Sus scrofa: one gene and its partner. The protein of the gene in region 2 purifies or fractionates together with the protein of the main gene of each other region. This does not show direct contact. Links are inferred from orthologs where the notes say so. Each region holds a gene or a part of one and is shown on either strand. Other genes may lie near its edges. The genes, in order: LIG3 and APLF.

Region 1 (4,354 bases), on a different chromosome or scaffold from region 2:
AACCTGGGCTTTAGGGAAGTTAGACTGAGTTGTAAAGCACTTAGAACTCTATCTAGCTTATACTGTAAGAAAGTCTTAGCTATTATTACTACTGCTCATTCTTTATTCCTTTTTTCTTTTTTTTGTATTTTTAGGGCCGCACCCTCAGCATATGTTAGTTCTCAGGCTAGGGGTCGAATTGGAGCTGCAGCTGCTGGCCTACACCACAGCCACACGTTTGTGACCTACACCACAATTTGTGGCAACACTGGATCCTTAATCTATTGATTGAGGCCAGGGATCAGATTCGCATCCTCATAGATACTAGTCGGGTTCTTAACCAGCTAAACAATGACAAGAACTCCTGCTCACGTTTATTCTAATGCGCTGTATGCATGCCTATCCCTGGAACACTGCTCATTTCTTTTTCTTATTTGAATACCTCTATCTCCAAAGGGAGGAGTGATTTCAATTTCATGATCGATGATCAGCATAAGCGATTTCAATTATCAATGATCAGCACAAGTGTTACCAGAGAAACAACTTAATGCCACCTTCCTACAATTTATAAAACCTGTTAATTCTGAATGCTAATTTACCAAAATATGTAATCATAAAATTTAAGACTAGATGGGATACAAATAAAAGGTGGCATTTCTTTTATGCAATAGATAGTAAACTTATGAAATTGTCACTTGAAGAAAAAAACAAAGCCTAGAAATATATAAATGGGTTCTGAATGTAGAGCAATGTCATGCCAACTCTGGCCTTATTAGAATAACCTGGGAGGCCTTCAATTTGATACATATGTCTCAGCCCTGCTCCAGATTTACTCAATCTCTCCAAATGTAGGGCTTGGGCACATGAATTTTTTAAAAAGCTTCATAGGTGATTCACCGTGCACTTTTTTGAGGGGGCTAGGCCTGCGGCATGTGGAAGTCCCAGAACCAGGGATCAAAGCCACGCCACAGCAGTAACCTGAGCTGATGCAGTGACATCTGCCCTATTCTTAACCCACTGCATCACAAGGGAACTCCCTCACGTGCACTTTAAAAAAAAGTTTTGTATGAGATCTACACATGTACCTACATCTGAAAAGCACTGGTTCAATAAAGAGAAACTCTGGGTTAAGGAGGTTAGTCATATTTGGCATGTATCTTTCACCATGTTCTCCTGGAATATGGTTTCGAAATGGAATATGTGGAGAACTGATTAGCCTTGAATAACATGTATTATGAATAGTGTTCTTAAACAGTCCCCCCAACCCTCTTGAGTTAGATTTAGGGAGTCAGAAAAGAAAAAGCCATATCCACCTCAGATGCCACACCTGGTTTTCATCTAAAAGCTTGTCCATTGGTCTGACTTCTATTAATTTACAAACTTCAAAGCAGAATTAAGTAAATATATATTTAACTATGTACAGTATCTACAGCTTACAGCTTTTACAACTCAAACTTTAGATCTGTGTGTGAAAAAGTGGGCGTTTTAGTATATAATACTTTAAAAACTTCAAAAACACTTTTACCTCAAAAATATTTTACACCAGTTTTCCAAAGCGGTATCTTCACAGGCTCCTTGTATCTCAACAACCCAGTTAGGTCACCAAATCTCTAGGCATGGAGTAAACGTTACATTGAGAGACGGCACTTTTTATACAATCGTAGAGGGTGTAGAAATCTTGCGTCTGTGAAATCCTATAACAAAGCCCCTTTCACCCGCCAATCCTGAGACAATAAATCCTGTAGCTCTCCCTCATCATCGCTGTCAACATTCTCCTCTTCCTTTTTCTGCAATTCTTTAATGGTCAGCACCTCTTTAAGCTTATTTTTTATTTCATCCTGGCGATTCCGCAGCTTTTCCACCCGACGGTAGCACTCTATCTGCTCATCGATCTCTCCAATCTGCCGGTCCAACCGTCCCTCCTCATCCTCTTCAGCAACTATGGCTTCGGAAATAGTGTTCACCTGTCTCATGGCTTTTTGAAATTCGTCCCACTCTTTGTCCATCTGATCCTTTGGGGCGTCAACCTTTCGTACCCTCGCATCTATCTCAGGGTCGTCAAAAAACCCTTCCGGTAATGCTTCGGCAGTGTTTTCTCTCCTTTCCACTACTTTTTCATGTATCTCTGCTTTCTCAATTGACCCCGAATGAGGAATTAAAGGGGCCTTGGGAGGATTTGTATCTGAAAAGCCGCTTGGCAGCCGACTACCACTTGCCTCCCGCGAGGAGGGAAGTGAGTGTTCCTTGCTCGGTACGTTGGACGGCTGCTTACTGGCATCCCCTTTCTTCCCTTCTCCTCCTCCTCCCTGCCCCTCTTCCTCCTCCTCCTCTTCCTCATCTTCATAATCAGGGAGTAAACCGAGTCCCGAAGACTTACTGAGGGTCGTTCTAGTGGATTCCTTTCCGGTTTTGTCAAAGTTGGTGGGCAAGGCGGAAGTGGAGGGCTGTACCTGAGGCACCGGAGAGGCCTTCACTCTTTTGGCATCTTGGCTCTCTGCATCTGGTGCCTTCCTCTTGGCGGACGGACCCTGGGTGGCCTCCTTCGCGCCTTTCAGCTCGGCCACTTTCTCTCGGTGCTGCTTTCCGAGGACGTGAGTCTGCCACAGGAGCTCGCTCTTAACCGGGGTGTTACACAGGGCACAACTCAGCTGCCCCAAACGGTTGTACTTCGCGAATGGAGATTCTATCCGTTTTCGGTTGGTGCTCAGACGCTGCTTCTCTTTCATCAACCTCCGCAATTCGTCCTGATTCACCACTCGCTTCCCGGCCGAAGGCCGAGCAGACGCGGAGGACGCCATCTTCGCGGCCGGACCCGAGGCGATTCTGGCTTCCGTCCCGGCGATGCCTGATAACGTCACTTCCTGTTGGATCGCGGGTTGGCTGAGGCTCCGGAGCGTGGGCCGTGGCGCACGGGTTTCCCTCAGACTCGAGGCAGAGGCAGCTTTTGTTGGCGTGTACGCTGCTGCAGGTGGCCATGGCCGCGATAAAGGCCGTAAACGCCAAAGCTGAGGTGGCGCGGGCACAGGCAGCTTTAGCTGTCAATATATGCGCCGCCCGAGGGCTGCAGGATGTGCTGCGGACCAACTTAGGCCCTAAGGGCACCATGAAAATGTGAGGCGGCGGTTGGAGCGGCGGTTAGGGCGTTGGGGATTTGTTGGGTGTCGCGACGCGCTCTGCGTTGGACGTTCCGCGAAGAGATTGGAGCGATGTGCACGCGCTTGTGGGCCTGTTTTCCCTCGTTCGGCATTTCTGCCTTGAGCTGTCTAGCCTGGCGGAGAAGAACTTTTCCCCGAGGAAAGGGCCCTCTAGTGAAGCTGTCATACCTACCCCCTTCCTGCCCCCCAACTTGTTGTTGAGGTTCATATGCAACTAGAAAGTTAGTTCATTTAGTGTCTCATATGAAACATAGGCCCTCTAACTCCCCTGTTCTTTATTATGCCCTTAGTTTGGATTTTGTTTGGCATTGTGTTGTAGTGGAGACGGCATGGGCTTTAGAGCCTGGCAGGCTTGGGTTCGGATCCAAGTTCCCCTTCTAGCTATGCAAGATCAAGTTCTGTCAATTTTGGCTGTGAGTCCTTGAGCAAGTTGTACGCTCTGTACCAGCGCTTCATCATAGCCATCCTTTGAGCCTGTGTTTACCTAGGACCGGTATTTAGAAGAGAGAGAAAGTGACTGGTGAGGGAAAAAAGGTGTAAGAGGAGAGAGGTACAGTTTCAGAGGAATGAGCAAAATAAAATTAGCGGTGAAAGAGGGCATTTATTCTAACTGGGATGCTGGGAATGAGATGTTTAAGACACGGTTTCTGATCTTAAGGAGTTCTAGTAGAGATGAATGTGCTAAATATATATATGGGAAGGGACTGATTACTGATGGCAGAAGGGAAAAGGAAAAGCTTCTCAAATAACAGGATTTTTCATCAGAGTCCTGCAAGATGAGTTAAGAGTTCACAGGTTGGGGAAGGGAGTAAAGGCCTTCTAGATAGAATAACTTCAGGAACAAGAAAGCCCAGTGGTGTAGATCCAACAGAAACAAAACTGAACATGTTATGTTAAGGGAACCACAAGATTTTCCCACAAGATCTCATTTGGTAGAAGAGGTAGTGAAAAATAGACATTATCCAGACTGGGAAAGGTAAACTATATCATTGCTAAATAGTTTGGATTTTACCTTGAAGGTGATGGAGAACATGAAAATTATGGTAGGGGTGTTTGTTTTGTTTTGTTTTGGCCTCACCCAGTGGCATGTGGAACTTCCCAGGCCAGAGATTGAACCCATACCACCCCAGTGACCCAAGCTGCTGCACTGAAATAATGGATCCTTAATCTGCTGCACCACAAGGGAGCTCCATGGAAGCTCCCCCCTTTTTTTTTTCTTT
Region 2 (4,453 bases):
AAACTTCACTATGCTCTGTTACCTACAAGTATTCTTTTTTTTTTTTTTTTTTTTTTTTTTTTTTGCTTTCTAGGGCTGCACTTGCAGCATATGGAAGTTCCCAGGCTAGGGGTCAAATCTGAGCTACAGCTGCCATCCTACGCCACAGCTGCAGCAACGCCAGATTTAAGCCACGTCTCCGACCTAAACCACAGCTCATGGCAACACCAGATCCTTAACCCACTGAGCGAGGCCAGGGATCAAACCTGCATCCTAGTCAGGTTCATTAACCGCTGAGCCATGATGGGAATACCCTCGTATTCTTTATATGAGTTTTTCTGACACTTTAAAAACATGAAGACATTCTCACAGTCAAATTGTTTTACACATTGGAATTAGAAACCTTTATGCTTGTGTGGCCAGGAAGGTTTGTGAAACTTGCCTCCAAAAGACATGGCTAGCTAATTTAAGAGAATTCAAAATCATCCTTATTATTATTAACCATTCATATGGATATGAATTAACAATGACCTTCCTGAGTTTTTTTACTTAGAAATAAGCCTTTGCTCTCTTACACTACAAACAAACAAACTCAATGAAATTGCCATCTGAAACAACAACCCTCATGTGGAATTTAAACCACTGTAGAGAAGAAACACCTGACTGTCAGCACTAAAATCTTAAAAACCACAAGGTGATTTGTTTTTCAAAGTTTTCCTTCAAAGCATCTAGTATCATTTATAACCACTTCTAACACCCCCCAAACTTGGCAACGGAATCTCATCACTAAATAACCATTCAAAAAGAAAATGCAAAGTCCTGACCAAAAAATTGACTTTCTACTCCTTAGCACTTTTAAAAGCAGAAACCAAATAGGCTTATCTCACATTACCAAGCCTATTACACAACGATCAAGCTACAAATAATGAAGGGGTCCGTGACCTGTTGCCAGCTTTATAAAATAAGAGGTTTAAAATTCATATCATTTAAGCTGATCCACAGCACTCTTGCAAACAATACAATTTGTTAAGGAAATCAAACCTCATTAGTCACTAGACATAAGATACCAGGTGAAACTGGGTATCTTACTCTGTTAAATTTCTAATTGAGAGAGAGAGAAAGAAAAATAGGGGTAGAGATAGAGAAGAAAGGAGGCAGGGAGGGAGGAAACTTAACTATGCAGTTCCTTCAAAGATTTGTACAGGTTAATAACCTATGGAGAAAAGTAACAATATTATTTAAACATTTAAATACCTGTCCAGAAAAAAAAGCAAATGAACTTGAACTTTCTTAATAACCTTACTACATATACACACACACTCATACATTCACACCCCTTTAGAACTGACTTTCCCATCACCACCTTGAACCACCACTCCCTTTCCTGCTCGGAGAAGGGTCCTAAGGCCAATACCAATGGTTCCATTTAGACACTGGAGGTTAACTGGGGTTAACAGTCCATATTCCTCACTCCCTGGTATTAGCTCACTGACACAGGTCGGTCTGGACAGTTCAAAAGAAAACTAGAGGCAAGGATGCCTGGCTCATTCATCTCTGTGCACCGCAGGGCGCTAGGATCTGCACAGTGTGCGGCACAAAGTGGGCACTAAACCAGACATGCTGAATGTTAAGAAAAAATATATACGTATTGAGGGAGAGATTTACAAAATTCCGCAATGTAACTGGCAAGTTTTCAAACTCTTAAACATCCCAGAGGAAGAATGCATAGCCTATCGGCACTCGGTGTCCAAAAGCTTAAGTGTGCCCTTTAAATAACCAATCTATAGCTCAACTTTCTTATTTGAACAATGAAGATAATAAGAGTACCTAACTCAAAGGGTTTAGAAAAGATTAAAGTTGATACAAGTGAAGTTCTTAGATCAATGCCTGGAACACTACATACACAGAACGGTGGGCCATCGATATTACTGAAAAAGACTATACAATAAAAGTTTGGCAAATGGGCCAAAAGTTTAAAAGAAATTATTCTAGAACAGCTAAGATCAGAGGTTGGCAAACTTTTCCCGTAAAGGGTCAGATACTACTGCAAATACTGTGGCCTACCAAGCCAAGAGGCAATATTCTCAACTCTTAGAGCAATTATTCTCCACGAAAGACTAATTCAGGTTGTTTACACTTTACATTTGAAAATTTGAGAACCATTCTCAGTATATGCCCTCATACAAAAAAACAGGCTGGATTTGGAGCCAGGGCCAGTTTGCAGACCCCCGCGTAAAAGGACAACGATGATACCCCAAGTCAGTGTTTTTAAAGGCAACAGAAGGAAAAGTCTGAAAGTTGCTTCGAGTTGACTGAAAAAGTGCTGCCCCCAAACTTCTAAAATCCAGACAGGCCTGGCCGGCGTGCTAGCAAATCGGGGAAGGTCCGGGAGAGGGGCCTCGGGAGCCGGCCAGGACCTCGCGGCCGTCCCGACCAGCAAAGCCCCCGCCACACTTACTCCCAACAGCGGCCCGCGGCCTATCACCGTCTCCCCGGGCGCCAGGGCCACCCGGGGACCGCCGTCCTGCGGCTGCAGCTCGAAGCCTCCGGACATGGCGGCGAGGATTAGACCCCTTTGGAAGGAGAGGGTCCCCCCAGCCGTTTCCGCCTTCCATGAACACGCGCGGGGCCTACGCAGGTCCCGCGAAAACACAGGGGGAGGGGGAGTGAAAACTGCGCCCGGGTGTGTCCAGGCCGCGCGGAGCGGGGGCCCCGGCGCGGGGTACCGAGTCCCGGCCCTCCTTCCAGCCAGTGACGCACTCGGGGATTCCCCCTTCACACAGCCTCCAAACTATTGTTTAAAACCCCCGGTCAACCCCCCCAACCCCATCCTTCTCACCGCCCACCCCGCTCGAAGGACACCGGACCTTGTAGTCCGTGACGCCTCCCTTCTCCTCGCTTGCCGAGCAGAGAGGCCCCGAGAAAACTACCAATACCAAGAGTCAATGCGCTCGCCTTTCTGAGCCTGTGCGAAATCCGAGTCAGCAAGGCGGGGCTAGAGTGGGCGGGACCTGAGAGACCTTGGAGAAGGATTCGAATTCTGGAGGATTTAAATCGCTGAAGGAGAGTTCGCTGCGACCCTGTAGGTAGGAGGGTCTTTCCTTCCGGCTGACGTCGGGTGGGCGTGCAAGGGGGCGAGGACCCGGTGTTCGAAGAGTCTGCGCTCGTCCCGCCTGAGCGGCAGTGACAGTTCGTGCTGACGGTTGTTATTGTTGTTTACTTGTCATTGCCCCTTGATCTGTGGACTATGGCATCAGCAATCTGCACGGGGCACGCCAGTAGGGTGGCTCAGATGGGACGTGGGGTCATTCCTTCCGACCTGCGGCGTCCGCCTCGGGTGAGGGCTGCTGAGAGCCGGGTGTCTGCGCGGCCTTCCGATCTCTCCGTCCGTGTGACACCTGAAAGAGGGTGAGCTCTCACCTAACTAGAAAGGTAATTCAGCACGATTTGGTTCATAAAGGGGCAGAAGAAGATAGTTTTCTAGGTATTCAGCCAAAGCTGGACTTGGAGGAAGGAAAATACCTAGTGGGATTTTAGGAATCTCAGCAAGGCACCCCTGTCTGTTAAATTCAAAAACGTTCATCTGCCTCCTCTGGAATAACTGTAACGGGAGAACGCATTTTATCCCCAGTGAGCTCCCGGGAGAAGTAGCAAATGTGCGTGTTAGTGCACAGGAACTGTCTCCTAATATGAGATTCTTTTCAAGAATAGGGTAGTTTGGTTTCAGTTTGTATTGCTGCGGAGCAGGAGGGTGGTGTGGCAAAAACTTAACTCATGAACTTGTTTTTACCAGCTTGCTTTCTTACTTCCCCAAACTCTGAAGAGGAAGTCCTCTCTTGAACTCGAACACTGAAATTCTAACCATTGTAACTAATTGGGATGATGAACAGCCAAATGAATGGGAGCATCTGTGGGCCTGGCAAGTCCAGAAACAAATAGGTGAGTCGCACATCTAGAAAGGGGAATTTGTCCTTAGTTCAGCTAGAAGTATTTAGCTGTATCTGAAACCACTCCTGGCTACCACCCCTCATTAATAGGAGGAAGTGCAAAGTGGAATAAACTGATTTTAAATAAATATGAACTGTCTTTATATGCAAAAATAGCTCCATGCTTTCAACTGATTTCAGAAGCCGTCACCATGCACCTTAAACTAGCTGAAACTGGACTTTACATCTTTAGTCATCTGCTATTGTTTATAGTTGCTTAATAAATGTAACATTGTTTATAATTGTTAGTCATTGTTGCTTGATGGCCTCAGTGACTATTGTCTTAGTTCATAATTAACTATGCATGTAGGGTAGCTTGGGGAAGCCATTTCTAAAGCACTGCTCTTATAACTAATTGAGTATTTGGGATTTTTGTCAGTGTAACCCAGACCTCAGCCTCTTGTCCATTTCAGGTATATTTGCATCAAATGTGACACCCTGCCCATTAGGTACAAGTACCTAAGCAATTCTTATATAAACTACTGAAA

The links.
Region 1: the proteins of APLF (region 2) and LIG3 purify together in Homo sapiens (affinity purification with mass spectrometry; 3 studies listed by BioGRID and IntAct, counting the BioPlex papers as one, with this or other methods). This does not show direct contact. The link is inferred for Sus scrofa from reciprocal best matches to the Homo sapiens genes APLF and LIG3.

What each region holds. Positions count from the first base shown.
Region 1 is NC_010454.4:40,202,269-40,206,622, forward strand, and holds the start of LIG3 (DNA ligase 3), read right to left. Parts: upstream 2,810-4,354; 5' UTR 1,505-2,809; intron 1-1,504. Other genes in the region: CCT6B (T-complex protein 1 subunit zeta-2), read left to right, coding at 2,954-3,090. UniProt on the Homo sapiens protein: Isoform 3 functions as a heterodimer with DNA-repair protein XRCC1 in the nucleus and can correct defective DNA strand-break repair and sister chromatid exchange following treatment with ionizing radiation and alkylating agents.
Region 2 is NC_010445.4:73,828,344-73,832,796, forward strand, and holds the start of APLF (aprataxin and PNK-like factor), read right to left. Parts: upstream 2,803-4,453; 5' UTR 2,534-2,802; coding exon 2,438-2,533; intron 1-2,437. UniProt on the Homo sapiens protein: Histone chaperone involved in single-strand and double-strand DNA break repair.